Nothobranchius furzeri: one gene and its partners. Each later gene encodes a partner of the first gene's protein in a complex. Links are inferred from orthologs where the notes say so. Each region holds a gene or a part of one and is shown on either strand. Other genes may lie near its edges.

Evidence for each region.
Region 2: rnf113a (region 1) and scnm1 share a complex: the UniProt entries of both Homo sapiens proteins name them as parts of the minor spliceosome. The link is inferred for Nothobranchius furzeri from reciprocal best matches to the Homo sapiens genes RNF113A and SCNM1.
Region 3: rnf113a (region 1) and cwc22 share a complex: the UniProt entries of both Homo sapiens proteins name them as parts of the minor spliceosome. The link is inferred for Nothobranchius furzeri from reciprocal best matches to the Homo sapiens genes RNF113A and CWC22.
Region 4: rnf113a (region 1) and cwc15 share a complex: the UniProt entries of both Homo sapiens proteins name them as parts of the minor spliceosome. The link is inferred for Nothobranchius furzeri from reciprocal best matches to the Homo sapiens genes RNF113A and CWC15.
Region 5: rnf113a (region 1) and rbm22 share a complex: the UniProt entries of both Homo sapiens proteins name them as parts of the pre-catalytic and catalytic spliceosome complex. The link is inferred for Nothobranchius furzeri from reciprocal best matches to the Homo sapiens genes RNF113A and RBM22.
Region 6: rnf113a (region 1) and snrpd3l share a complex: the UniProt entries of both Homo sapiens proteins name them as parts of the minor spliceosome. The link is inferred for Nothobranchius furzeri from reciprocal best matches to the Homo sapiens genes RNF113A and SNRPD3.
Region 7: rnf113a (region 1) and bud13 share a complex: the UniProt entries of both Homo sapiens proteins name them as parts of the minor spliceosome. The link is inferred for Nothobranchius furzeri from reciprocal best matches to the Homo sapiens genes RNF113A and BUD13.

Annotation. Positions count from the first base shown.
Region 1 is NC_091745.1:10,008,299-10,012,371, reverse strand, and holds rnf113a (E3 ubiquitin-protein ligase RNF113A), read right to left. Parts: upstream 2,704-4,073; 5' UTR 2,650-2,703; coding exon 2,544-2,649; intron 2,244-2,543; coding exon 2,164-2,243; intron 2,092-2,163; coding exon 1,993-2,091; intron 1,738-1,992; coding exon 1,630-1,737; intron 1,540-1,629; coding exon 1,430-1,539; intron 1,348-1,429; coding exon 1,241-1,347; intron 1,151-1,240; coding exon 1,061-1,150; intron 989-1,060; coding exon 895-988; intron 826-894; coding exon 719-825; intron 633-718; coding exon 565-632; 3' UTR 501-564; downstream 1-500. UniProt on the Homo sapiens protein: Required for pre-mRNA splicing as component of the spliceosome. As a component of the minor spliceosome, involved in the splicing of U12-type introns in pre-mRNAs. E3 ubiquitin-protein ligase that catalyzes the transfer of ubiquitin onto target proteins.
Region 2 is NC_091745.1:65,775,870-65,780,066, reverse strand, and holds the start of scnm1 (sodium channel modifier 1), read right to left. Parts: upstream 2,801-4,197; 5' UTR 2,693-2,800; coding exon 2,642-2,692; intron 2,511-2,641; coding exon 2,440-2,510; intron 2,358-2,439; coding exon 2,269-2,357; intron 1-2,268. Other genes in the region: lysmd1 (lysM and putative peptidoglycan-binding domain-containing protein 1), read left to right, coding at 3,360-3,539. UniProt on the Homo sapiens protein: As a component of the minor spliceosome, involved in the splicing of U12-type introns in pre-mRNAs. Plays a role in the regulation of primary cilia length and Hedgehog signaling.
Region 3 is NC_091754.1:30,050,200-30,052,814, reverse strand, and holds the end of cwc22 (pre-mRNA-splicing factor CWC22 homolog), read right to left. Parts: coding exon 2,547-2,615; intron 1,107-2,546; coding exon 679-1,106; 3' UTR 501-678; downstream 1-500. UniProt on the Homo sapiens protein: Required for pre-mRNA splicing as component of the spliceosome. As a component of the minor spliceosome, involved in the splicing of U12-type introns in pre-mRNAs. Promotes exon-junction complex (EJC) assembly.
Region 4 is NC_091750.1:48,553,524-48,557,191, reverse strand, and holds cwc15 (protein CWC15 homolog), read right to left. Parts: upstream 2,436-3,668; 5' UTR 2,285-2,435; intron 2,200-2,284; exon of another isoform or gene 2,057-2,199; intron 1,955-2,056; 5' UTR 1,939-1,954; coding exon 1,808-1,938; intron 1,725-1,807; coding exon 1,612-1,724; intron 1,508-1,611; coding exon 1,407-1,507; intron 1,336-1,406; coding exon 1,225-1,335; intron 1,128-1,224; coding exon 979-1,127; intron 868-978; coding exon 738-867; 3' UTR 501-737; downstream 1-500. UniProt on the Homo sapiens protein: Involved in pre-mRNA splicing as component of the spliceosome. Component of the PRP19-CDC5L complex that forms an integral part of the spliceosome and is required for activating pre-mRNA splicing.
Region 5 is NC_091741.1:95,930,087-95,933,586, forward strand, and holds part of rbm22 (pre-mRNA-splicing factor RBM22), read right to left. Parts: intron 1,908-3,500; coding exon 1,735-1,907; intron 1-1,734. UniProt on the Homo sapiens protein: Required for pre-mRNA splicing as component of the activated spliceosome. Involved in the first step of pre-mRNA splicing.
Region 6 is NC_091746.1:48,714,771-48,718,978, reverse strand, and holds snrpd3l (small nuclear ribonucleoprotein D3 polypeptide, like), read right to left. Parts: upstream 2,801-4,208; 5' UTR 2,669-2,800; intron 1,879-2,668; 5' UTR 1,864-1,878; coding exon 1,738-1,863; intron 951-1,737; coding exon 758-950; intron 375-757; coding exon 310-374; 3' UTR 179-309; downstream 1-178. UniProt on the Homo sapiens protein: Plays a role in pre-mRNA splicing as a core component of the spliceosomal U1, U2, U4 and U5 small nuclear ribonucleoproteins (snRNPs), the building blocks of the spliceosome.
Region 7 is NC_091750.1:44,767,950-44,772,204, forward strand, and holds the start of bud13 (BUD13 homolog), read right to left. Parts: upstream 2,801-4,255; 5' UTR 2,757-2,800; coding exon 2,617-2,756; intron 2,493-2,616; coding exon 2,402-2,492; intron 1,890-2,401; coding exon 1,805-1,889; intron 1,737-1,804; coding exon 1,500-1,736; intron 1-1,499. Other genes in the region: rsph3 (radial spoke head protein 3 homolog), read right to left, coding at 4,158-4,192. UniProt on the Homo sapiens protein: Involved in pre-mRNA splicing as component of the activated spliceosome. As a component of the minor spliceosome, involved in the splicing of U12-type introns in pre-mRNAs.

The DNA of each region.
Region 1 (4,073 bases):
CGGATTGTACTCTACACACACCCACGAACCAAAAGGACAACTCTTGAGTTTTCTAAAGGTAGATGTAGCCCAAACCATAAAGGTCAGGAGACGGATCAATGAAATGCTGCTACGTAATATTACCAGGAGACGCTCCACCGTTTGTGTTAACACGATTTGGTCCGTCTGCTCCAGGAGACGACCATAAGGGCACCTAGCAGTCCTCTCTGAGGACTGACAGCATTTCTTAGCTCCGGTCTGCTACAGCAGATGCATCGTCTCACGGTTCAGACTCTTTTGTTGCACAGGTTGTAATTATTAGTTTAGCATTAAGAGCGTAAAAGTTAGCCTTTTCTTCGGCTCTCTGGGTGTTACTGACGTCAGATGTAAATGTTTTCTTGGTGCTGGTTTTGTCTGCATGTATATTTGAAAGTTTGGACAAAGCAACGTGTTACAAATGTAAAACTTTTACTACAAACCCAGGCCTGCTTCAGTGTTTCAACATGATTGTACAAAAGGAACCGAGGCCATGAACTTTATTAGAAATGTACACAGACAAACACAGAGAGGGTTCTAAAGCGTGTTCTAATCTTCTTCGTCTGACGGTGGCTGGTCGGCTAAAGCGTTGCGTTTCTCCATCTTGGCAATCAGCTCTAGAATAAATGACAATAAAACATCAAGTGTGACTGTTTACTTTGGTTTCTGCTCCTCTTGGATGTTTTTGAGCAAATGCATTTACCTTTAGCGGGGTTGAAGACACCATTGGTCTGAGTGTTGCACACGTAGCAGCGCTTTGACTTGCGATAATGCTGAAGAGCACAGCTCTCACAAAAATAGTGCTTACACCTAAGGAAACAGCGATTACCAGCCGGTAATAAACAAGGACTGAAGGAGAGAAACCATCGCAGTACTTACTTTGTGATGATGGGATTTTTAAAAGATTCTCTGCAGATGAAGCACTTGAAGGGCAAGTCTTCATCATCACTGCTCACCTCATAGTTCTCGTCATCTAGATGAAAACACATCAGAAACTTAGTCTAGCCAGCAAAAGAGAAGATTTCAAGTTCGATTATTTACTCACCATTTGCTCCATATCTCCCTTCCTCCAGTTCCCTCTCAATCTGCCAGCCGTGTTTGTAGTCCGACCTGTCATGGAGGAACTTGCAGCTGTCTAATGGCAACGGATGCAATCATGATTAATAAACAAAACCTTTGACTTCACAGTAGGAACGTTTTAAGAGTTCAGATTGTTTTCACCAACCCCCAAATCCACAGAAACCCGTCTCCTTGTAGTCTTTGCAAATATCCGGTTGGTAGTCCCACCGGACTGTAGCTCTCAGGTGTTCAGGAGCTCGAATCGGTCCTTTTCTGTAGCACAGATTGAACGTAACCTTCAGCATCTATAGGTGAACAACATCTTCTGACTGCATGTGAATATCTCTTGCCTCACCTGACCATGCCTGAAGAGGCATTGCCCATGGTGGTGTCTTTAGGCTTGATGAATTTTTGGTAGTTATTGATGCCACGGTATATTTTATCATCTTCTTTACCTGTTAGCTCCTAATGAGACAGAGGAGGGAAAGCTCAAATGACGAAGGTGAGATTTTGATTATTTCTCATTTTATATTAACCAATAGCGGCATGTCCTACCTCTTGGATTTTCTGACTCCTCTCAAAAATAGCTTGAGCATCCTTGTCTCTCTCTGTGTCCAGCTGATAAGTGGCAGTTGCACCCATGTCTTCAGGCCCCTCGGGTTTCTTTTTATGAAGGCAAGGTACAGTAGAAAGTTTTAAAGTAAATAAAAACAACTGTTCAGGGCACATAGTCATGTGTACGTGGATGAGAATGGTCTGTAGATTGTAAAATAATGTTAAAATTTGCTTTTCTGGTGAAGTTTCAGCCCCTGTATGTTTTGTCTCAACAGCCAGGTTGAGCCATGATGGAAAAAAGATCAGTGTTTGACTTGTACTGTCTGGCTCTGACATTTTTGAATGAATGCAGTCTGAACTCACCGCTGATCGGGAAGACTTGTAAGCAACCGTTATCTTTTTGTCTCCCTTTTCCTCCTCGCTTTCACTAGAAGACACAGCGTCCCTCTCCACTTTTTTTGTCTGAACAAAGAATACATAGATCATTCACGTTGCTGCTTCATAACTAAGTATCTATTAGCTTGCCTGCTCTACCTTTTGAATCATGGGGTTGACTCGAGCATCCTTCTTTTCTTTTCTGACCACAGCAGTCTGTTCAGTGTCACTATCGCCATCTAAAACAAACAAACAAACACACACGCGCACACACACACACACACAATTGGTGTAAACAAACATTACAAAATCTATTACAATTAAACTAGGTTACTTCCCCTCTTTGTTTAAATGTAGCTTTCAGGTGATAAACCATAATGTTTTTGGTCCTGTTTATTATGGAGGATAATATAAACAAACTGTTTGGGTCGCGGTTTTGATCTCCCTGATGAGAAGCCGCTATCAATTCTATCCAGAGGACAGACAACGCTAGTTAGGAGAAAATTACAAGGAAATGTATCTAAATGATAGTTTACTACCTTTATCGCTGTCACTTGCTTTTCGTTTTCTTCCGGAGAATTTCTTGGTGGATTTTTTAAACAAAAACGTACAAGTAGCTGCTTTTGGTTTGTCTGGGTCCGCCATGTTTTTGTTGGTGTAAGAACAGTGGCTGCCAGAGCAGTAGCGCCCCCTGTTGTTCTGGAGGCGAAACGTGACGCGCTCCTTCTGCCAAAATGAGATTCACAACCGTCCATAAATCAAAGTCAACGCGGCTCTGGCTAGAATGGTAAACCTAAAATATTATGTTAGAACGGACGAGGGCCAATGAAAACAAAAGAAAAATACAATAAAAAAATGAACAGAAAGATAATTCTGACTTTAATCTCAGAATTTTCAGATTTAAATCATTATTCTTTGTTTTCAGTGGCCTTAATCCTCTTCCGTAGTACTTGAAATAATTTTTAAAAGGTAATTTTAGTTTTAAACAGAAAAATAATTAACGCATTTTGATTGGACACTAAATGTATAAACGATTAATAAACAAAATACACAAAAATAGCCATTAGAAATGTCGTTGATAAAAAGAAGAAACGATCTTTTACAAGACCGCTCAAGATAATAATCATGAGCAGGCGCTTCACAAGAACAACAACAACAACAACAACCATAACAACAAAAAACAAAAAAAGAAAGAAAAATAAATAAAAACGAATGACATAAATTTGTAAGAAAATTTTATGTTTAACTGCTTTTTGTCTAAATAATCTTTTGACGTAACTGATGCCAACACAATCTGTCTATAAGTGATTAAATGTATTGTTTATGTCAACTTGATAACAAGAACTCAATTAGTTTCTGGCTTTCGAGAGTAGGGTTTTTTCCAACCTCTGGCGGTCAGAGGCGGTTACTACAGTGTTCACATAAAGTTGAACAACACATAACCAATTAGCACTTCCTATAAATCCTTTCAAAATAAAAGAAATAACAAGAGGTCAGAAGGTCTGCAGTTATATAAACTACACAACCGATGAAGCTTAATAAATGTATCATAATTATCTGTGTTAAACAAGATTAAATTAACGCGCTAAAACAAAAACTATTAGCAGCATTACAAACACATCAGATCATACGCCCTCTGGTGGCCTATTGTCCCTCTGCTGTAGACTCAGAGGAACATCAAGTAATTCTTTTTGATTGTGAAATTTAACTAACAAGTTTGTAATTTCTTCTCAAACATTTCAGATATAAAACAATTTAGGCCACTATCAGGTGTCTGCCCTGGGATTGGGAGATCGGGTTTGAATACCGGTCTAGTCATACCAAAGACTTTAACAAGGAACCCAATCCCCCCCCCTGCTTAACACTCAGCTTTAAAGGGTTGCATTAGGGGGTTAAACAACCAAATTACTGAGCGCAGCCACTGCAGCAGCTCCCTGCTCTCCATCGGGATGTGTCAGATGTGGAGATGAATTTCACCAGTGTGATGATGACTATGGGACTTTAACTTTATTATTTGAACACACACACACACACACACACACACACACACACACACACACACACACACA
Region 2 (4,197 bases), about 56 Mb from region 1:
GCCGTTACGCTTTTGGCCTGAGGGGGCAATCGCGAGCATAAAAATTCAAAACTCCATAAAGTCCCTTTAAAGAGCCTTTGAATCGCTCGCCTCCTTAAAAAAAAGCCCTCCTCCCCTTTTCATCTAATGATCGCAGTTAACAGGAAATTCTCCAGAATACTGCAGAAAGGTAAGTCTACTGTGAGCATGCGTGTGCACTTGTTAATGACTAATTTTTCGACAGAGAAACTCCGACAGCGCACGCAGAGGGGGTTGAGGGGAGTGCTGTCTATCACTGCCTCTGAGTCGCTCTCTTGGTCCACCAGGTGACACCTCTTTCAGAAGTGTTTTCCTAACAGGAAGTGTGAATGAAATAAGTCCCCACCCATGCCATGACTCCCACTGTAACTATAGTACAGTGGTGTAGCGATGTTAATATCGATAATCAAAACAAGCTATTAACCCCTTTTTAGTATGCATTTTGATATTTAAAATGCATCACAAGTTGCATATGATTAATTTACAGCTGTTAATTCTTTGTTGCTCAGGTTTTTAAACACTTTTTGGTATACAAGTAATTATGGATTGTTTTTGTTTTGTCTTTTCTAATACTGAAGATAATTAGGGCCACTGAAGAAAAAAAATTTAAAAAAAGAATTCTGACTTTAACTCACTAACTGCCAGCCGTTCTCCAGTGGCGTGTCCAAGCTCTTTAAAATGGGGTGGCCCAGGTGGGGCACTTGTTTATGCACGAGTGGCCCCTATGGTTATTGTATTGTAACCCTAAGCCTTTTGTGGAGAATGTAAAGTCAATTTATATGGAACTCGGTGGGGTGGCACCTGGGATTTCAAGGGTGGCATTTGCTACCCCAGGGCACTCCCTGGACACACTCCTGCCATTCTCTGATCAGAAAAGCCCTTCGCAGCCAGCGTTTTTCAGTGTTTCTACTGTTTCTTTAAGAGTCAATGAACGTTGTGCTCTAGGATGATGTCAACGCCAAAACTAACAAAACGAAGAGTAGACTCACCTCTTACATCAGGCAGAATCAGGGTTCATTTCAAGATTCTGGTTCTGGTCTATAGGGCCTTACATGGACAAGCACCATCTTACATTGGTGATCTTCTTAGTCCCTACACCCCCAGCAGGTCCCTGAGGTCCAGTGATCAAAGCCTACTGGTTGTGCAACGCACCAGTCTAAAGACCAAAGGTGACAGATCATTTGCTGCTGTGGCCCCCAGATTCTGGAACTCTCTCTCTCCTTGAGCCTGAGATCAGTGGACTCCTTTAAAAAGCAGCTGAAAACTCACTTGTTCAAGCTGGCTTTTGTATGGCCTTCTTCAACCCCTCTCTCTTTATTCTGCTCTCCCCACCTATTCCACCTTCCTCAGGATCCACTGATTTCCCTCTTTCCTATTCACTCTCTCTTTCTTAAAATTGTTTTCTTTTAAATCCCAATTGTCTATTTTTGCTCATTTGAAATAAATTTTTAAACATTTTCTAAATGCTTTTTTATATTTTTTACATTTTTTTGTTTTTGTGAAGCGCCTCGTGATTTTTATCTTGAGAGGCGCCATAGAAATGATATTTTCTTCTTCTTCTTCAGAATCTACATGTTTCGAGTGTTATCCATTCTTACATAATCTGTAGTCGAACTGTGATCGGCAGAAGCTTTTCCGGTTTGCGCCTCACTTATTTTTTTACAGCTGTGGCCCAAAACGATCTCCTAACACATGGATTTTCTGCTTCCTGATCACGTGGCGTGTGACGTACACGAATGAAGATCAGCTTATAGCTGGAATGTTTGTTCTCACGGTGCGGGGGCTCGTTCCGACGCCCACATAGTAAAAAAAATGCAAATGACGACTTTAGTCGTCAATGGCAGTTAATGAGTTAATCTCTGATTTCTGGCATTTTTCTCAGAATTCTGACTTTTTTCTTGATTGTGACTTTAATAATTCTGAGATTAAAGCCAGATTTCTGAGGGGAAAAATCTGATGTCTTTCTTTTCATATGTTTTATTTTCAGTGGCCTTAATCCTCTTCCATACTTTAACTCAGGGTGAAGTTCTTGGATTTTGAGTAAAAACCACGTGCTGTTGTTTTAATGATTTGTAATAAACAAATTGATCAGACTGTATGTTCTATTGTCTTCCCACAATATCATCAGATACTTTCAAGTGTTTCTTTGATGTCAGACAATGTAAGAAAATCATAACACCTGACTTAGAAAAGTTCTTCCAAACCTCATCCCTTACCCACAGGGAATGACACATTTAAGCTCACTTTTACCTTCTAGATGCTTCTTCCCTTGCCTGTGGACGGTCAGCACATCAACCGTATCAAACACGGGACGGTAGGAGCACACCAGACAAGTATATCTAAAAAACCACACACGTTTTCAGTTATTAATGTAACAACATGTCTGTTTCTTTTCCGAACGTGAGTCAAGCCGAAATTCACCTTCCATTTTTCAGCAGCGCAGCTTCGTCTTCAGGAATAAAATGAGACAGCAGATCGGCCACACGCCTTTTCTGAAAAATGTCAACAAAGTTGAAATAGTGAGTGCTCCCAGGACAGGAAGCTAACAGGATGCTAACATGATGCTAACTACACAAACGTATAATATTTAATGAAACAGACAACGTATAAAACAATATTTAACCTTAAGAATGTTGAGTTGACTCTTGTCATTCCCCTCTCTTTTAAAAGACATTGCTATGACATATACTCTTAAACTGAAGTTGGAACCAGATTAGCTGCTTTTTGTCAATGCTAGGCTAGCCCTGCTGATGCGTTCACAGAAGAATCGACGCATGGGAAATTCTAACCTCCAAATTTAGAACGGAGTTCAGCTTTGAACTAAAGTGTGCACAAACATTTCTGAATCATATCCATTATTTGTCGCTCATAATTATCATTAAAAAAGACTGCTCAAGTGCAGAAACAGTTTAAACGTTAGGTACTCCTAAAACGAATTCGAACAACTTTAAAGTGATTTCTGTTATTCGTATTGTATTAAACGCACCGTTTGTTAAGAATCATGTGACCAGCCCAGGCAGCCATGGCAACCAGCGTAGCTGCTACTGCTGCTGCTGACTTCACGAGATACGAGAAAATGCTAACAAGTTCACGATAACTTTTCAGGTGTGTAAAATAGGTTTATCATATAGTTTAACGGGGTTTTTACATCAGAGGCCCTGTGTGTGCTGCAGGTGCTGTATTGCTAAGCTTAAAATAGCAGGTTTAAAAAGGAAAGAAGCTTGAATAGTTGGGTCGTGTGCTAGTTCTTACATACATGTTTCTCTGGTAAAAGCTAAAGTTTACAGCTCTCTGTATTCTGCCGCACCTTGGACGGGTTTAAACACAAATGATACACCAAAATGTCCGGGGAGCGAGAGCCATCGCCTCCCGGGAGAGGGGGCCTCCTTCGCGGAAGCCGAACCAGATCTTACGGCAGTTTGATCCGACCTTCACAGTCTCCGGTTCGCCGCAGAGTCGTGGAACATGTCGTCCAACCGGGAGAGACTTTGCAGGGCCTGGCCCTTAAATACGGAGTGTCTGTAAGTACAAACTATTTACATTTTAAACAACCTATTTTAGTTAGGCTTACATTTTTGAGTCTCTCTCTCTCTCTCTATCTCTCTCTTTCTATATATATATATATATATATATATATATATATATATATATATATATATATATATATATATATATATATATATATGTGTGTGTGTGTATATATATATATGTGTGTGTGTGTATGTTTATGTTTATTCATTTCGCAGACACTTTTATCCAAAGCGACGTACAAGTTTTTTTTTAATAACCTGTAGGGCATGTTGTGATGTGTGGGGGAAACCGGAGTACCCGGAGGAAACCCACGCATGCATGGGGAGAACACGCAACTCCACGCAGAAAGGCGAGTTTTGAACCTGCGACCTTCATGCTGCGAGGCAACAGTGCTAACCACTGCGCCACCATGCATATATATATAAAGGTCCTGGGTTTGCTTCTCGGCCTGGGATCTTTCTGCATGGAGTTTGCATGTTCTCCCTGTGCATGCGTGGGTTCTCTCCGGGTACTCCGGCTTCCTCCCACAGTCCAAAAACTTGAGTGTTAGGTTAATTGGTCTGTCTGAATTCCTTAGGTGTGTGTGTGTGTTTGTGTGTGTGTGTGTGTGTGTGTGTGTGTGTGTGTGTGTGCGCGCGCGCATAATTG
Region 3 (2,615 bases), on another chromosome or scaffold:
CAAGGTTGAAGAATAATTCAGGAAGGTGTGTGTCGCACTAAAGACACTTAAGTTAGAAAACAATGGGTAAATATCGATTCATGATTTAGAGAGCTGAATATCAGATGTGATGGGTGGAGATGAATCCGTTTAGTTTGGGCTTCTTTAGTCTGTAAAGCTGCAAATTTACTTACAGCTGGAACACAACAAAGTTCAGGAACTCTCAACTAAGTCTCAGCTTTTATTTTGAAAATCTAAAATTTCTTCTCATGGAGTGACCTGCATTTTATAATTTAATTTCATAAAACCTTTTCATTTGTGAAGTAATGTAACTGCAGCCGTTTGTGTCTGAACTGTTTGTTTTCCTAATATTAAATCTTATAGTTTCATTATTTGATTCATTCAGTTTTGAAAACTTCTATATTCACCAGCTATAAATTTGCTGAAGTTTATGAAAATGAAAAGAAAGCTTAGAAAAACCACTAACTGTATAGGTGGATCAGGATTCAGAGACACGAAAGTTAAAAACATCTATTACAACTTTAATTTTTCTTTCATTTCATCAACTAAATTCAACAGAAGGACTGAAGGAGGAAAATAAAAATGGGTCCCAGGTCCACATCAGAAGTGAGAAGCTGAGGAGATGAGGGCTGTCAATCATCAGTTTATCATGGCTGCTGCAGTAGAGAGATGAAGAGTTCACCTCCTCCTCCTCTCCTCTCGCTCTTTGTTCCTGTCTCTGTTCTCTTTATTCCTCTCTCTGTCTCTGGTCTCTTCTTTCTCTCTCTCCCTCACTCCTTCCCTGTCTCTCCCTCTGTCTCTCTCCCTCTCCCTCTCGCTGTCTCTTTGATGGTCAATTTTTCGCCTCCTCTCCTCCTCCTCCTTACGCCGCTCATCTTCCTCTGGCCTTTCATCTCGTCTTCTCCACCGGGTATCCTCACGTGAGCGTTCGTCCAAATCACGCACACGGGTTCTCTTGTCTTTCCCCGACTGCTTCTCACCCTCGTCTCTGTCCTTGTCGTTCTTGCGTCCACCCCCACGCTTGTCAGGTTTCTCCTTCCTCTTCTCCCTCTTCTTTTTCTCCTCACTTCGGCCTTTTCTCTTCTTTTTATGTTTGTCATCAGAGTCTGGAGGACAAAAGCGGGGAAATGTAACTTCTAGAACTTCTATCAATTTGACTTTTAAAACCACACATTTAGACTCAGGAATAGGGATGGGTACCTTTGACATTTGAATCGATTCGGTACTAATTCCCGGTACCTAGGAATCGATACCGGTTCTTAACGCTACCAATTTTAGATACTTTTGAGTGTTTAATATTTTAATTCTCTTTTATAATTAAATATATATGTTTCTCAATATATAACCATATTTGATAAATATCACGATAAATAACATACAACTGTTTGTATTTTAACATCGTCCTTGTAGTTTTATAAGCTGATAATTAAACTGAAGCAAACATCTTTACTGTGAACTAAATTTACTGTGTATCTTCATTCCTTTTGCCGTCTTTTTTCATTAGATTTTTCCTACTGGGAAGTTAGAATTTCCGAGGAGAAAGCGAACGCACCATTAGCTGATAACAACGGTGGCAATGGAAGCTAATTCATCAAGCTAACTTTATCTTAAACAGTTTATTTAGCTGCTGGAGCAGATTAAAATGATGATACCTCACACTTAGATCGTTGTCACTGGTTTCATCTTCACCCAATCACCCGTCGCATTTAGTAAAGTGAAGCCAAACTTTAGAGCGCGTTCATGTTCTTCTAGTCGGAAATTCGGAGTTCCGAGGAGAAAGCGAACGCACCATTAGTGAAACGGAAGCTAACATATCAAGCTAACGTTATCAACCGGAGCAGATTAAGATGAGGATGTCTCATTTAGATCGTTGTCGCTGGTTTCATCATCACCCAGTTACCCATCAAATTTAGTGAAGTGGACCCAAGCTTTAGCGTGCGTTCTTTCTACCATGCTGCTCTGTTTACAACTGGCTCGCAGCGACCGACGACATAACGCTCTTGCGCAGCTGCCTAGGCAAGTTCTCGTTATGAAGGACGGGTACCGAAACGAGGCACCGTTAGAAATGACGTGAATCTGTGCTCAATCGGTACTATGGAATTCGGTCGGTACCTTAATAAGTACAGAATTCGGTACCCATCGCTACTCAGGAATGAGTGGAAATGTGAATAATTCAAAAAAATTTTACAAAAAAACTTGGGCAAATGTGTAATCCTTTCAAAATAAAACCAAATGGACGAATTGTGGAAGTGTATACATTGTACAGATCAAAAGAAATGCCTATTTTTTATTTGTATATTTTACCAAACATCTGGAAATCACTGCTCGTTCCTGCTATAAAGATAAACTGGTAGCAGCAGTTTTATGGTGCACTGACCTCCCTGCAGCAGATGTAGAATCAAAATAAAAACATTCTGGGTTCATTTCATCAGCTGGTGAACATCTGGTTCCTGCCCAACCTCTGAACTATAAACATAACTCATCCTCTCACTTGAAATCTAAAACGTCAAACCGCAGCAGAAAGTAAAGCATTCATCAGATCGTACCTGAGCTGCTGCTGCTGCTGGAGGAGGAGTCTGAGGAGTCTGATTCGCTGGAGGAGTCTGAAGAGGAGT
Region 4 (3,668 bases), on another chromosome or scaffold:
TCATCACTAAATGAAACAAATCAGCTGTGTTCATGATCTAAACCATGCAGGAAACTTGCTGGAACTAGACTGCAGCGCCAGGTATGTCAGCTCAAGTTCTTCTAAGTTCAACAGATCAGACCAGCAACTGTGAAGCTGCAAGTGGGATATTTTGGCCACAGGGGGCGATAGGGGCTGGGTGGCATTTCATTAACACTGTGAAGGGTTATTTTAGCACATACTGGCTCAAGAAAATTATCTAAAAATATGAACAAGTTACAAAGTATCTTTTAACCCTCGCCACATCCTTGAACTTTTGCAAAACCCATTACCTTTTGCACAAAAAAAGCACTAGGGAGTGGAGGGTTAAATGAAAAGCAACACTCTTCATACCCATTTCTGTGCTGATTTTAGGCACCCCACCCCTAGCATTTTTTATAAAACTTAACTTTTTAAGTTAATTTACCCTTTAAAATTAAAAAATGCACAATCTGTTATTTCTGTGAAATTATGCAAAGTAATTCAAGGGAAAAAAGTCAATGTTTATTCAAATAATGAAAAATGCATGACAGAAATACTGAAATCACATTCTGAAATGTGCTTCAAACTTTCATGATTTACGCAAACAGCAACTGACCTGCAGACAGTACGGTTTCCAATTAGTTAGACTGTAAATAAATGCCAGCTGCAATTAAAATGCTTGAAACTAAAACATTTTCAATTAAAAAAGATCAAATGAAACACACACACAAAGTCCTCTACTTTACATATTTCTCCATAAATTTCTTGTGGAACTCAGAGCGCAGCGTGTCGTTGACAAAACGTTTCTCTTTCCGCGCCTCATCCACTCCTTTGGCGCAGTTTTTGAACACTACGTCATCATCCCACCTAGAAGTACATCAGAATTATTAGTGGTGGTGAAGGAATATATTTGTTTTTCCAAATGCAAACAAACAAAAAACCAACATTCTTGCTGTAACAAGTGAACATAAGAAATACCTTCTCTTGACTCTGAATGTGTTCTGAGTTTGGCTCTGTTGCTGTTGTTGCTGCTGCTGCTGTTGCTGTCCTGCTAAATTTATCAATGGATTTCCACTCAAAATATTTTCCATTCGAATCCTCTCTTCCTCTGCCTTCTGCTCTCTTTCCTAAATAACAAAAGAAAAGCACACGGAGGTTAAGCCATCCTCTATAACATCACTTTTCATTTATAGCCAAAGCAAACACAAACTTAAAACTCTTTACTTTGCGTTCTTGCTCTTCAGCTCGCTCTTTCTTAATTTTTTCAAGTTCAGCCAGCAGGGCTGCAGTGTCGTCATCATCACTTTCTTCATCTGAGTTCTCGTCTTCGTCATCCTGTAATGTAAAAATGGATTAATAACTTTATCCAGTGTAAGTCTGGGATGTATTGCAATGTAAATCCTTACATCAGTGAGAGGGTCATCGGCATCAAGGTTGGCTGCTGGGATCTGATCCAGTCTGGGCCTTTTTGAAGATGATGATGATGAAGAAGATGATGTGGTGTGCTCTGAAGAAATAAAATCAACACAATACAGATTAAAGGAACTATGCCAGAAACCGTTGCATACATCCTTTTTGGATCTAATCTTTATTATGAGTAGAAAAATCCACCTCTTGGTCCCCTCTCTCTGGTCTTCTCACGAGCAGCTACACGCTCCCTCTCCTCCAGCTCTCGGCGAAAATCACGGGCACGCACTTCCTCAGGGGCATCCTGGGTAGGCTGCCTTTTAATTGAGATGAAAGAAACACAGTTTAAGTAGTTCGAATAAATATTTAAGGTTGAGAAACTGGAACCCACTGTTCTGACCTGTATTTGATCTTGGTGTGACCTGGAAGATCCCGACTGGAATACTGCTTAGAAAGAGCACTCAAATCCCCTTCTCCTTTTCCTCTACCCCCTCTCGCCGGCTCAAATGTTGGTCTTGCAGCTGTAGTCATCTTTGATGGCCGTGCTCTGGCAAAACGTAAAGCAGAAAATAACTGACCAATTCATAAATTACAATAAGTAATTTTAGATATACATCATAATAAGTCTAATGTTAATATGAGTTAAAACCTTTAACGATCAGTTTCCTCCTAAATGTTGTTTAAAACACAAGTTAGCTTGATAGCTTCCACCGCTAATCAGTTGCTAACAGGCTAACGTGGGTGACAATGCAATTTAAGGAACATTTCCTATTTTTAAAACCCAATGCAAGATAATTACGAGAGTAAACATGTTTGAAACACAAAGCTTAAAATAAACAACACAATTTAAATACGTTTTTAAAGCAACAACACTTACGAAGCTGCTTCCAAAAGTGAAAAGGAAACGTTCCTGTACACAACGGTGCGTCACTTCCGGAACTAGACGCGTTCAGGAACAATCGGAGAAAAATCGTGCATATTTTGACCGGCATGACAGGACTCCAAGAACCTATTTTACTTGTATTGTTTACGAGGTCGGCTGCGCAGTGGTTAGAGCTGTTGCCTTGGGTTCACTTCCCAGCCTGAGATCTTTCTGCATGGAGTTTGCATGTTCTCCCTGTGCATGCGTGGGTTCTCTCCGGGTACTCCGGCTTCCTCCCACAGTCCTTAGGTGTGTGTGTGTGTGTGTGTGTGTGTGTGTGTGTGTGTGCGTGTGTGTGTGTGTGTGTGTGTGTGTGTGCGTGCATGATTGTTTGTCCTGTGTGTCTCTGTGTTGCCCTGCGATGGACTGGCTTTCTGTCCAGGGTATATCCCGCCTGATTGCCCATTGACCGCTGGAGATAGGCACCAGCCCACCGCAACCCTACGTGGACAAAGCGGGTTCAGACAATGGATGGATGGATGGATGTTTACAAGGTCAATAAAATGTAGTGTTCAAATTAAGAAAACCACAAATCTTGTTTACTACAGTATGATAATTACAGACCAATCTTAGTGCTTCCCCAGTTTTCTAAAGTCCCTGTTGCCCTTTTCAAGCTGGATCTAACCTCCATCTGTCTGCAGATTCCTGCACCCGACTCCTGTTGAAGATCTCAGCTACATTTATGCTGCTCCCTTGTTTTCTCCATTAATTTATTGTTTAAAACCGACCGTAGTCTGTGAACTGATTCTGTAAGTCGTGGGTTAGACACTTACCTCACAACATGACACCATAGTGACTGGTATAATTACGCAATCCTTCGATGAAAGAAGGTCACAGTTTAGTCTTGTATGCGATCATGGTTCAGGTTTGCATTTCATTATTTTCTGACCTCCTGCTATGACATTTTTTTTACCTGAAGCTCATAAATATTCCTGAAAAGTTGAATAAACAGAAATCTTCAGTGCAATGCACCGATATGAAACTTTGGGGCTGATACCAATATCTGATATATCGCTGTTATGGCCGATAACCGATGTTTGCCAATACCGATATACTGACATTAATGCTTCTAAGATCAACAGATTTGTAAAGATTAAAGCTGAATTGACGTTATGTACACACACCACACATGTTTACACTGTTAGATGATTGCAATCACTGTCACATGACTAAACAATTACACATCACCTCCCTCACCCTCTGAAACAGATAAACAAATGAAAACAAGATGGAAAAATTATCAGTTAATATTGGCCCAGTTTAATGTATCGGACCAATACCGATATTAATGCCAATATATTGTGCATCCCTATTTTGAACCCTAACCTACTGACAAAGT
Region 5 (3,500 bases), on another chromosome or scaffold:
TGGTGTTGTGAGTTATGCTGCTGTTATACTAAAGGCTGTTCGTTTTTGCGGAGCTTTGTTATTCATAAAATCACCAAAAACATGATTCAAACATGCTTCCTAAACCAGGAAGATGTGTCACAAGCTGGGTTTACAGATGCAGTCAGGACTGTTTAAAACAAACATTTTCATTGATGTTTTTAAATAAATATGATCCGATGCCGTCAGCCTGTCCATCAGCTTCATCTGATTCACCTCTTCTGGGGAATGAAGCTTTTCACCTAAACGACCCACCAAAACGCTGAAGTGTTTCGGTTTTAATGCAACAAAATGTTATTTAAGATTCTGTTCCATTTATACGAAACGGGGATGACACTCCGTGACTCAAGAGCTGCACATCTGGTTAGTTTTACTCATTTTACTCTGATTACTGACCTGCTAATATCTTCTATTGTTATTTATTATGTGCTAAAGACTGAGACACTTAATTTAGTTTATTTGCTGCCTAAAGTGAAATGAACACACACAACACAGAGATACTTTTAAATTCCACTAAAACAGCTGATCAGGATTCTGTCAGTGCGTTTACCTGCAGCCAGTAACCCTTTTAAAACCCGAATATTCACAATAAGCCGGTTCTGCACGGCCATTTAAACACCACCAAAAACCCAGATATGCTCTTACTACACCTGGGGTAACCCTTTTCTAACCCGGATGTTTGGTCATGTAAACCAAATCGGGATATTCCCATCAAAGCGTGTGTTTTGCGCATGCTCTGTTCGCAAGGAATCTTGGTCTTTTGAGTAGCGAGACGTCTTGTATGCATGTAAACAAGTTGGAAGCAACATGGCGAGTCGCGGCACAGCACCACACTTTTGGAGTGACGAGGAAACCTCGGTCTTCATTGGTCTGGAGAAAAGTATGAACATTATGTCTTTTGTTGACGGCCGAAAGTAGAGACAGCGAAATATACAAGCATATTGTGTCTGGACGTAGTCCACACGTCCTGACGCTATCCCAACGTCCGCATTTAAATCGGGTTATGCAAGTTAGAGGTAACTCTATTTATGCTTGTAAACGGGTTATTCTGATCAACTCAGAAACCCGAATACCGACCTTAACCCGATCATAACCCGGATATTGGCTGCATGTAAACGTAGTCTGTGTAGCTTGTAGCATTTAGCCCATTTAAAAAATGCCATCAGACTTTAATGTTTATGATGAAAAACATCCAAACTTACCATTACAGGTGAACTAATGTACTTTAATTTGATTGCATGAAAACACAACTTTTTTTTTTTACTTTAATCTGAAGTAACATTTTGTTCCATTTGTGGGATTAAAACATTCTTATTTGTGTCACGAAGCTCGGATCAGATGTGAGGAGCATCAGCTGATGAACAGGCTTTCTTATCCAGGTAATCACATTTTTCATTATTACATGAAAATCTTTGGTGTAATTAAAATAACTTTAAAGGTGATCTCAGGCTGTTTTCTTTAGTAATCCTCACAGCAGCAGAAGAGGGACAGATGTAGGATATTTATAAGAGCTGAATTTACAGAAACCTGGATCATTTTTCATCACACACTTTTGTGTCTGTTCATGACCCAGTGCTGGACAGGATGGCACAAGTTAGTGAAAACCAGAGGAAGCAAAGTGGGCAGAACTGCATAAGGTAGAAAATACACTTAAGGAGGCAGGTGTTAAAACACAAAGTCAGATTCATAAAACACGGAGACCACTAAGTTATTTACCTGTAGGGACACTCCTCGCCTCTCTTACACTCTCCCTTCACCCAGAAGGAGCAGATATGGGGCCGGTTCCTCTTGTAATATGGAGTAGTGCGGGCCAGTTTGAGCAACATGTCACTGGAGCTTGTTGCCTTCCCCAGCTGGCCTACTGGTCGAGTGCCATCAGAATTGGCTATCTGTAAGCACAATGGAAAATAACACGAGAAAGTTATTTTAACGCTCGTCTAAGATGAAATAAACTGCCACTGACATCACAAGCTGAATATCTAAAGGGATATTCCATCTCTAAGTGAAATTTAGCCTGTTGCCATATTCTCCAGATTTTGATAAGTGGGAAAAAAGCATTTTGTAACCAGCCCAGTCCTCCTCCTGATCAGGTGGTATTAAATTAGCTTCAGCTTACCACTGGCAACTTAAAGTAAATGGTAACAACTAGCATTTTGTGTGAATAAGTCAAGAAAATTACTCAATAATGATCATAATTTTTGTTGATGAACTCAGTAATCACACTGACAGTAAATAGGCCTGGGACGATAACAAATTTTGCTATCCAACAAATTATTGATGATAAACAATATTATTGTTGACATTATAGAGACCAAAATAACCACTTATGTAATGTTAATGGATCATAATAATGCAAGTACACCCTTTAAAACGCAGCAATGAAACCTTTATTTAACTAACACAAGTGATATATTTTCTGCAGTACTGAAACGCCTGAGCTCCGTTTGTTTCCTTTGAGGTCGTAGAGATCTACGTTACTGATTGTAAACAATTTCTGAAAATACTGATCTCTAGACTCCTTCACAACTTTAATCCTGTAAGGGATGCGTTCATCCTTGTTCTTTTCATCCATCCTTTTTACTTGTTCTGCTTCATCTTCAGTTTCCCCTAGCAACACGAGTCATACACCTAAAATGGTGCTAAGGGGTGCGGTTGACATGCAGGTCACGTGTCTGACAAAAAACGACGTATCCAGGCTGGAAAAATTATTGAGTTCATTTTCATCTATCGTATGAATTGATTTATTGATTATTGTCCCAGACCTAACTGTAAATTAAAATAAGTAGCATGGCGGAAATACAAGAGACGATTTTGACTTGGGAATGCATAATGACAAAGCATCACTGTAAAACTCAGTTTATAGTCATTAGGGTCAAAAGTTGTACACGTTGTACAGTAAACTCAAAACTGACCATGTCTGCATAACATCATACAGCTGCATCCTGTCCTTCTGCCTCATGGCGTTGGCTTACAGCAGCGCCAGTGGTTATGCTTGCTTAGTATGAGGATTGCTGTAAAGTTATTGACACTTAGGGCTGGGGGTAAACGATTATTTTTAAAACGATTATTCTGACGATTATTTTATCGAATAGTCGACTATTCTAATGACTATTTAGAAAATTAATCTAATGATTATTTTTCTATTGCACAATTAACAAAAACCAGAAAATCTCAAATAAATTCCTCAAAAAAATTGATAAATTCTTACTGTAAGAGAATAAACACTACAGGCCTTCCATTTTGTATAACACTGCTTTTATTGTGTTGCGGTTGGTTATGTTCTGGTGACGTGTAGAACTTGGGAGTGCAGGCTGCTGCCTGAGAGGTGGTAGAAGATGGAGTGTCTCCATGCTGCTTTGTTTTGGTCACTTATGTGCGTGAGGCGAGTGGTCTTACGGGTTAAACCAAACTCAGGTGATATTTTACACTAAACCGAAAACCCACAACACTCTAAATGTAATAAAAGGGAGATCTACACCACA
Region 6 (4,208 bases), on another chromosome or scaffold:
ACTAGGATAAATATGCAGTAAAATGCTTTTCCGTGGGTAAATGTACAAATTTTACTTGCTAAAAGGTTACAATACACAATATAAATGAAAGAGGTGGGACTCAAAATTGAATAATACTACAAAAAAAGGGCTTCAATGGGGCAAAGCACAGCAAAGGTTCAGTCAAGAAGAGCAACACTGAGCTGAAATCTGTTTATTTCATACAAAATAAAAACAGTGATAAATTGTAGAGCAAAAGACTGCAAAGTAAACCAAAGCATAGTAAATCCAAAAGATGACATCAAACAATGAAATTTAAAACAAAATAAGTTATCGTCTCTTCTGGAAAATGTTGCCTCTCCCCATTCCACCACGACCTCGTCCTCTTGCAGCCACTGTTAAAAGTAAAAATAAAAAGTCAAACTCCAAAAAAAGGTATCTCTTTGGTCTGGAAGAAATGCCCCCCCACAAATCCCTATTTTCCCTACTCAAATATTTTGACTATGTTGGACTTCTACAAGAGAAGAAATTAGACAATACCATTAAACATTCCTTTGAAAAAGCCTTTTTTTCCCTTTATATTAGATAAAAAAGAATTGGGATCTGTCTTTCAAACCATTCCACCTCAGAAAATGTGAGAAGTGTCCACATAGAACACTGTTGTTACCTGTAAAAAAAAGTAATTAACAACTATTTAAGAGCCAAGCAGCTAAAGAGGGAACTAAACTCTAGCGCTGTCTCAGCATCTGGAGAAATTGTCCAAATGCTTCTCACTCACCTTGTGCTTTAAGAATAGCTGCCTTTCCTCTTCCTGCCCCAGAGCCTTGGTTCTTGTTCTTCATACTCTTTAACATCGGAGCATTCTTTAACATGTCCGGTAGGATCAAAAAGCGGATCTTGCTGCCGCGAATGTAGACCTGTTCCAACTGTGCAACCCGGCCATCGCGGTAGGTCACGGTGATGTTGGACATCTGTAGGGACAAATTCAAGTTTAGGTCCACAACAGGTGAAATGACCGTGTGAGCATCCATTAATCCAGTTCTGTTACTTATCTGGATCTTGGTGCACACAGGTTACCAAACTAGCATGGCTCAAATGTAAATTAACATTTCAGTTTATTCAACCCTTATAAAAATGTGTGCTGAAATAGAATCCAATTGAAGAGTGATGTTACTTTAGACTGTTTATTAAATTATGATGCAACAACAGAGTTAAATAACTGACTGAACTGGGTAAATCATGAAAGCTAAAGACCAACTTAAAATGAAAACCCAACATAAAAGCCTTTCTGATAAGAATGCTTTAATGAAACACTTTTACAAAAAAATAAAACTCTTCACACCAAGCATCCATGTACACCATTGTTTGGCCAAACGTTTTGCAATTTAGGGGAACACTAATCCCAAACACAAATTAGTTTACCAGTAATTACACAAACAAAAGCTTTTATGACTACATACCCCACAAAAAATCCACATTAACAGAACACCTTAAATGCCAAATTTACTGACCCAAGTTATTGTGAGTGCACAAAATAAAAATTAAATATTTTTTTTAATTTAACCCATTAAAAAGCTGCAAGAAAGGCAATTTGCAAGAGAAATAAAAACAAAATTTATTCAGGCAGCAGATGGGATTGAAACAAGCACTGACTGGATGTTTATGATCAACAGTATTTTGAAGGCTTTTCATTGACACTTTTCTTGACAATTAAAAATCACTGGAACCCTTTTAAACCATACTGCTAAACAAACCAACCTGGCAGTTCATATTGTCCTCTGCTTCTATCAGCTTGCCCCTGTACACCTCTCCAGTGTTGGTCTCACAGGTCACAATGTGACCCTCTGCCTCATGCAGGACCTTGATTGGTACACCGATGGACATGTTTCAAAGCTTTTCCTGGAACACAACACACAAAGCAAAAGATTATACGTGCTCACCCACAGAAATGTCTGCTCTTAAATATTGGCAACCCAAATCCATTTAACTTTATTGGTTAGCCGGGTTGCCCAGTTTCCAGCACTGAAATCTACAATCTGCATTACAACTAGTAGGAGAAGCAACAGAATAAGGCGAGTGAACTTTTTCATGACTGTGGATTAATACTAGTCACTGAAATTAAGACAAATAAGGAAAGACGCCCTGGGAAAACAGGTTTTGTGCAAAAAGCCATAACAAAAGAAGTGTTGTGAACCCGAACGCTACATTAATTGAAACTTTCATGTGGGACATAGTATTTAGACTTAACTAAAATGAAGGTGTTTTTATTATTTAGCATGAATTTACGCAGTAATACACTTTATAACATTACTAGAGAATAAACGATTTCGCTTGGGTATTCTCTTTTTTTAAGAGTCTGGTGGAGAATGTTTGATAGCATTCTAACCGCTAGCTCAGTTAGCCATACTAGCTAGCAAGGCTACAGGACAAATTTATCTAGAAACTACCATTAAACAATTCCAAACAGTAAATATGATTGGCCGTAAATGCTATTTACAGTTTACTACGATTAATAAGCATAGTTAAATACCTAAATATTTTACAGTAACATACGGAGTTTTGAAAATGCGCGTAACCTTAGCCATGCTACACATGAACGAAATAAATCGAAATTTCTAAATAACGAAAACCAATAGAAGAATGAGAACTCCGTTTCCTCAAACTAATTAATGTTACTCCTGTAACTTACCTTGACTTGTTCGTAAGAGTTATTTGCTTTATTGTTATTTCTTCTTGAACTGCAACGTGCGTTTGACGCTTTCGGGATCCTTTTGAGCCTTTTTTTCCGCCTGCAACGAAGGGTCACAACGAGTGTTTCCGGTGGCACCTACCGCGATGCATTGTGGGACACGTAGTTCAATAACGCCCATGGTTGAGGACTATTGAGTATGTACAGTCTATGGGACTATTATTTAGTGAAACTGACAAACTCAGCTTCTTATGTAGAATTATTTTTTTTATAAAGACTGAAACACATAAAATTAAATAAAATAAAAACTAAAATTATAAGAAACTATTTACATTTTAATCACGTTTCCTTAATTTATAATCTGTTTTTTACTTGTATTTGTTTTTAATTTTTTATGCTTGAGAAGCACCTCGCGATTTTTATCTTGGGGGCGCTATATAAAAGATTGTTTCATTCTTTCTTCTATAAATGTTGAGTTATGATGGAAATGAAAATTGATTTTCATTCTCCACAAGTAGAACATTGCATTTCTAAGAGGACTGAATATGTGTTTACGTACATCTGACTAAAGTTTAATGAATAAACTTGATTTCCATGATTTTGAAGGAAATCAGCTGTTGACTACATTTTCTGCATCGTCTAATGACGATGGGCAATTTATGCAGCTACACCAGACACTGAACTGTATTGTTTTAAAAAGCAAATGTTGATCCAGTAGCAGGATTGATTTGCATTTTCTTTCAGAAAAATAGAACAGTTTTGCATTACTTGTCATCTTGGCTCCAAGTTGACATTTACAGCTTTACATGGCTTTTCATAAAGCAGCTCAGTGTTAGGTACTTTTTAAATTCCCATGGAACATTGATCCATCATTGAATCACCCACAACAGTATTTTTATGATCTGTATCTCATGCAAATCAAAACAGCATTAGACATAAAAACAAAACATTAAAATGAACTAATTTTATCTATTTTTACAACACTGAGTATGGCCACAGTGTACTGCACAAATGATATGCAAAGAACTAGAATAAACATAAAGTACACATAATATACATACCCGTGTATGTTTGTTCCAGGAGATGTGTCTCGGGGATTGCTACGGGACACATAAAAGTGGCCTAATGCAGGTCTGTCCCACATTGAAAGAGCTTTTTAATGGGGAAAGAGAAGGCATAATGGGATAATAAAAGACATCATCAAATGAATCTTCATTTGATTTCCATTGCATTTGGCTCATTGACTGGCGTCAGCAGCCATGGCTGATCTGTAAACACCTTTCAGTGAGTAGTTTGTGGTTGGGCACTTTACGTGTGTGTGTGTGTGTGTGTGTGTGTGTGTGTGTGTGTGTGTGTGTGTGTGTGTGTGTGTGTGTGTGTGTGTGTGTGTGTGTGTGTGTGTGTGTGTGTGTGTGTGTGTGTGTGAGTGAGTGAGTGAGTGTGAGGAATCTTTTTATGATTTTGATGTGTGCAGGCCAGACCCTGAAAGTAGTGGTAGCATCACAGGTAGTAACAAAGTGGAAATAAGTCCTTTGGTTCA
Region 7 (4,255 bases), on another chromosome or scaffold:
TCCGCCTGTCGATCTCCCGATCCCTCCTACCCTCACTCGTGAACAAGACCCCGAGATACTTATATAATTATATAATGCATTTCATTAATATGCATTTGTATCAGAAATGGTAATAACATTTAATTTTGGCTGCTAAAAATGTAATGGTGGCATGTCTATTATGTACGGGTTGGCAATAATCCAGTTCAAATTATGTTGAAAGATAGAAGCGTCTGTTAATTATATACTACAACGGCTTGCCATAGCCGTTCCATTCAATTCAAAGATACTTTATTAATCCCAGAGGGAAATTAGAGTTTCAGTACACACAATTCTGAGATCAGACATACATACATAGGCATAGACACATGACAAGAATTGGTGACTGTGGTCATTCGCGACCCGGAGGGTTTACATAAGGATTGGGTCAGGTGGAGGGAAAAAAGGCACTTCAGAGACAGGGAGGGCAGCTTTGCTATGCAAAAAAACACCTCAGACAGAAATGCAACAGACTTCAGACATTACACAACATAAGTGTCCACTAGGTGGGGTGGTAGGGTCTGGGACTCTCCACACATCAGTGCATGCAGCCGCGATAAGCAGCGCTCGTCACCTCCGTTTGGACAGGGGAAGGAGGTATGTGGGTTAGAGGGCACAGTGACTCCTGGAAACGATTCAATGGCCTTCACCGGTCGCAGTCCCACCCAGGGTGGGATAGGGAGACAGAGTTACCATGGCGACTGCAGCATTGTGGCAGTAATGTGACTCGTATCTGCAGCGGTTCTGATCCATAGCGCTGCAGGATGCAGAATAAACAGGATGGTGGGGACTTTTCATCCGCTTGTAGATTTTAGTCTTTCTTAGTTTTACCATCATATATTTTTCTGTGCACCACTTGATCGTGAGACTGCTAACCGTTAGCTTTAGCATTAGCCAATCTGCGTGTAGCTGCACTTTTGATCCCAAACTTTGGACCGGTTCTGCCTTTGCTGGTTCCTGTATTTTCCTCCACTGCATCCAGATGACCACACTGCGCCGGTAAAAAGCATTTTTCTTACACGCAACTAACTTTGTTCAATAAAGTTCTGGGGAAAATAGTAATTCAAAGATGTTGCACCAGTGCTACGTTTAAACATAGACAGACACGCACAGACAGTTCTTTTCGTCACACTGTACAGCTCTGCTCTGATATGGAAGAGCCTGGGGGAAAATCAGGATGTCAATAACACCAACCATAGATATGTAACTAGCGAGAAAAGCAGTTTTTGATCTTCTTTGTCTGCAGTGGTTTTAGTGCTTTTCGGTGCGCCGCTGCTGATACAGCGCCCCTGTAGGGGCGTAACGCTGCAACTGCAGTTAAAATAACACCCATATAGCTGGGGGCAGAGTGAAATCAGGCTGGGGCGGCCGAATTTGAATGCAGGAAAAACCCTGAATATGCTTCAATCAGTGGTGGAGAACAGGATGCTAAAACAAATGCCTGTCCATGAGAGACACAGAAAAAAACGTTTATCACTCACCTTTATATCGGCCCTTTCCTGATTTCCCTGAATGCCCTCTTGAAGGTGACAAGTCTGGAGAGTCGTGGCGACCTCTCCTTGGAGGAGATGTGTCCGGAGAGTCATGTCTTGCTTTTCTGATGGGAGAATTGTGTCTCATGTCTTTTGATGACCTCTCCGGTGAGTCTTGGTGAATTTTGCTAGATTCCAAAGACTCTACACGTTCCCCCGTTGTTTCATCTTCCTCGTTCTCATCAGCTACAGGGAAGACTAGATGATGATTTTCTTAAACAAAGGAACAGATTTTGTTTGTGTTTCACGTTTACCTCCAACTATTTTCCATCTGTTGCTGGTCCTGAAGACTTCCATCTGTTTCACCTCCTCTGGTCGCTCGTCAATGAATTCAGCAATCTTAGTGGGCACACAAATTTATCCATATTGCATTTCCATAACATTTGAGGAAACATCACTCATTAGAACCTTCTAATAAATAAAAGTTTGTGTTTTTTTGTCTCTGTTTATGTCAGAATTCAGCTTTTTTTCCCTCCTGGATTATATGGACAGATTACGCAAAAAGATTTTTTTTCCACAAATTAAATTATTATTTGTTGCAAGAAAAAAAACTATAATTTTGCACTTGTTTAGCCCTGTTTATAGTGCAAAATATCTTCCTCTTGATCTTTTTAAACAAAAATTATTAAAATGGCACAAAAACATTCTAAGTATTTTGACCCACTTGGGATCAAGTTTTAGTGTCTAAAAACTTGTGAATACACTTTCATAAACTCAACCCAATGTATGGAGTCTAAAACTGAACGCCTGTCTTAATATTGCCAGAGATTACTGAAGGGAGAGATTTGCTTTAAAAGCGTTTGAATCGAATTAAGGTCTTTCGAAAAAGCTAACGTTAGCTAGCTGTTTACCACAGGAGCTTCTTCTTCTTCCTCCTCTTCAATCTCCTTCGGTTCTGTGACCATCTGTCTCCAGTCTATATCATCATCTACTATTTTAAGTCTGAAATAAAAGGAAAATAATAAATGTCACCAAGTAACAAAAAAGCGATAACTGACACAGTGACTAGCGAAACAGCTAGCATACAAGTGAAAAGAAACTTTATAGAACTCTCTCACAAACTCACCCTTTTTCAGGAACTTTGCGTCGTTTCTTTTTTATCTTTCCTTTTGATTTACTAGCATCTTCGCTGGCTGACAGATAACGTTTGAGGTACTCAGCTTTAGAAAGCTCAGCTCCTTTACTGACGCCATTGGAGGCAGCCATGTTGACTGTTGTCCGAAACTACGGATAGCGCGGAGGATCAAAAGGGGTAAACCGCTCCACCATCCTTGTTATGGTATATATTTTTCTTTTTAAAAAATACCACAAGAGTCATAATCTGGCTTTTGTTGTAAAACTGAAAATACTCAATTGCTAAACAAGCCGCTTATCTTTTTGATGTAAAAATGGATGAGCTATGGCTTGATTTTCCATCTAATTTTTGCTAATAAATAAAATAAAACAAATAGAAAAATAAAACGAATAATTAACACTGACAAACAGACATTTTTTCCCTCATTTTGGACACAAAAGCATCACATTAACAAGTGTTAATTTTGATAATAGGAGTCTTTCATCAGGGAACCAAATCAGTAATTAAAAAAAATAATACAAATAATAATAAAAAAAAACAAGTGGTCATTTGATTCTTGTTTGGAAATACAAATGATTAAAACAAATACAATTCAATTTTGTGTGATAAAATAAGGATGGCACAGTAAAACAATATTAGATTTTTTATAATGAAAAAAAAGAAGAATTAATGTTTACTTTAATTCTATTTGCAGAAACAAAGACGACATTTGTTATCACCATCACCATTCTGTCAGTGCTGTAGGAGACATGCTTTAGCTCCATTTAGAAACTGACTCTACTCGATAGACACTGAACACGTTATTGTTCCCAGCAGTAACTCAAAAGTAGTGATGATTTAAGATCTTTAGCTTGAGGAACTCAGTGATGTCATCATAATGATTTATTTAGGCCCTGGATCTGTCTATCTCTCTCTCTCTGACACACACACACACACACACGCACGCACGCGCGCGCGCACACACACACACACACACACACACACAATGTACTTTGATGTTTTGCATCTTTTTTATTTGTTCTTATCATATTTTAACAAGTTTTTGTTGCCTCCTTGTTGCACCTTTTTGTATTCATTATTTATTTGCTACCTCATTAATGACTGTAACTTTATCTCGTGGTGTATGGTGGCTCAATCACAACCTCATGTAGCAGCTGCTCTGTAGAAACATTTGTTTAGATCTGTTTTACACACTTAAATAAAAACAGCAAAATGGTCCAATTTTACCCCCAATAAGTTTAATGTACTTTAGTTTTAAGCCATTAAGAATTGTGCAGTTCAAATCACTTTTATATAAAAGTGATTGAATGTCAAAGCTCTCAGACTCATAACCCAGATTATCACACAACTCTTTCAGTTCCCAACAAATCCTCTGAGACCTAAAAGACATGGCACAAAAGTAAACAAACAAAGTAGTCACAGCAAGTTTACCAACAAAAATATCCATTTTCATGTAAATAGGAGCAATTATGTGCCAGAGAGTTGTTTATGGAGTAGATCTGGCCGGCTGTGTTTCCTGATCCTTCCACTCCTTAAAGGTTTTTTCCACTAACTTCAGAGATCATGGCTGAAACAAACAGAAAAATGAACAGGTTGAACATTGATGACCTCAAATATTTCTGCCACCCTT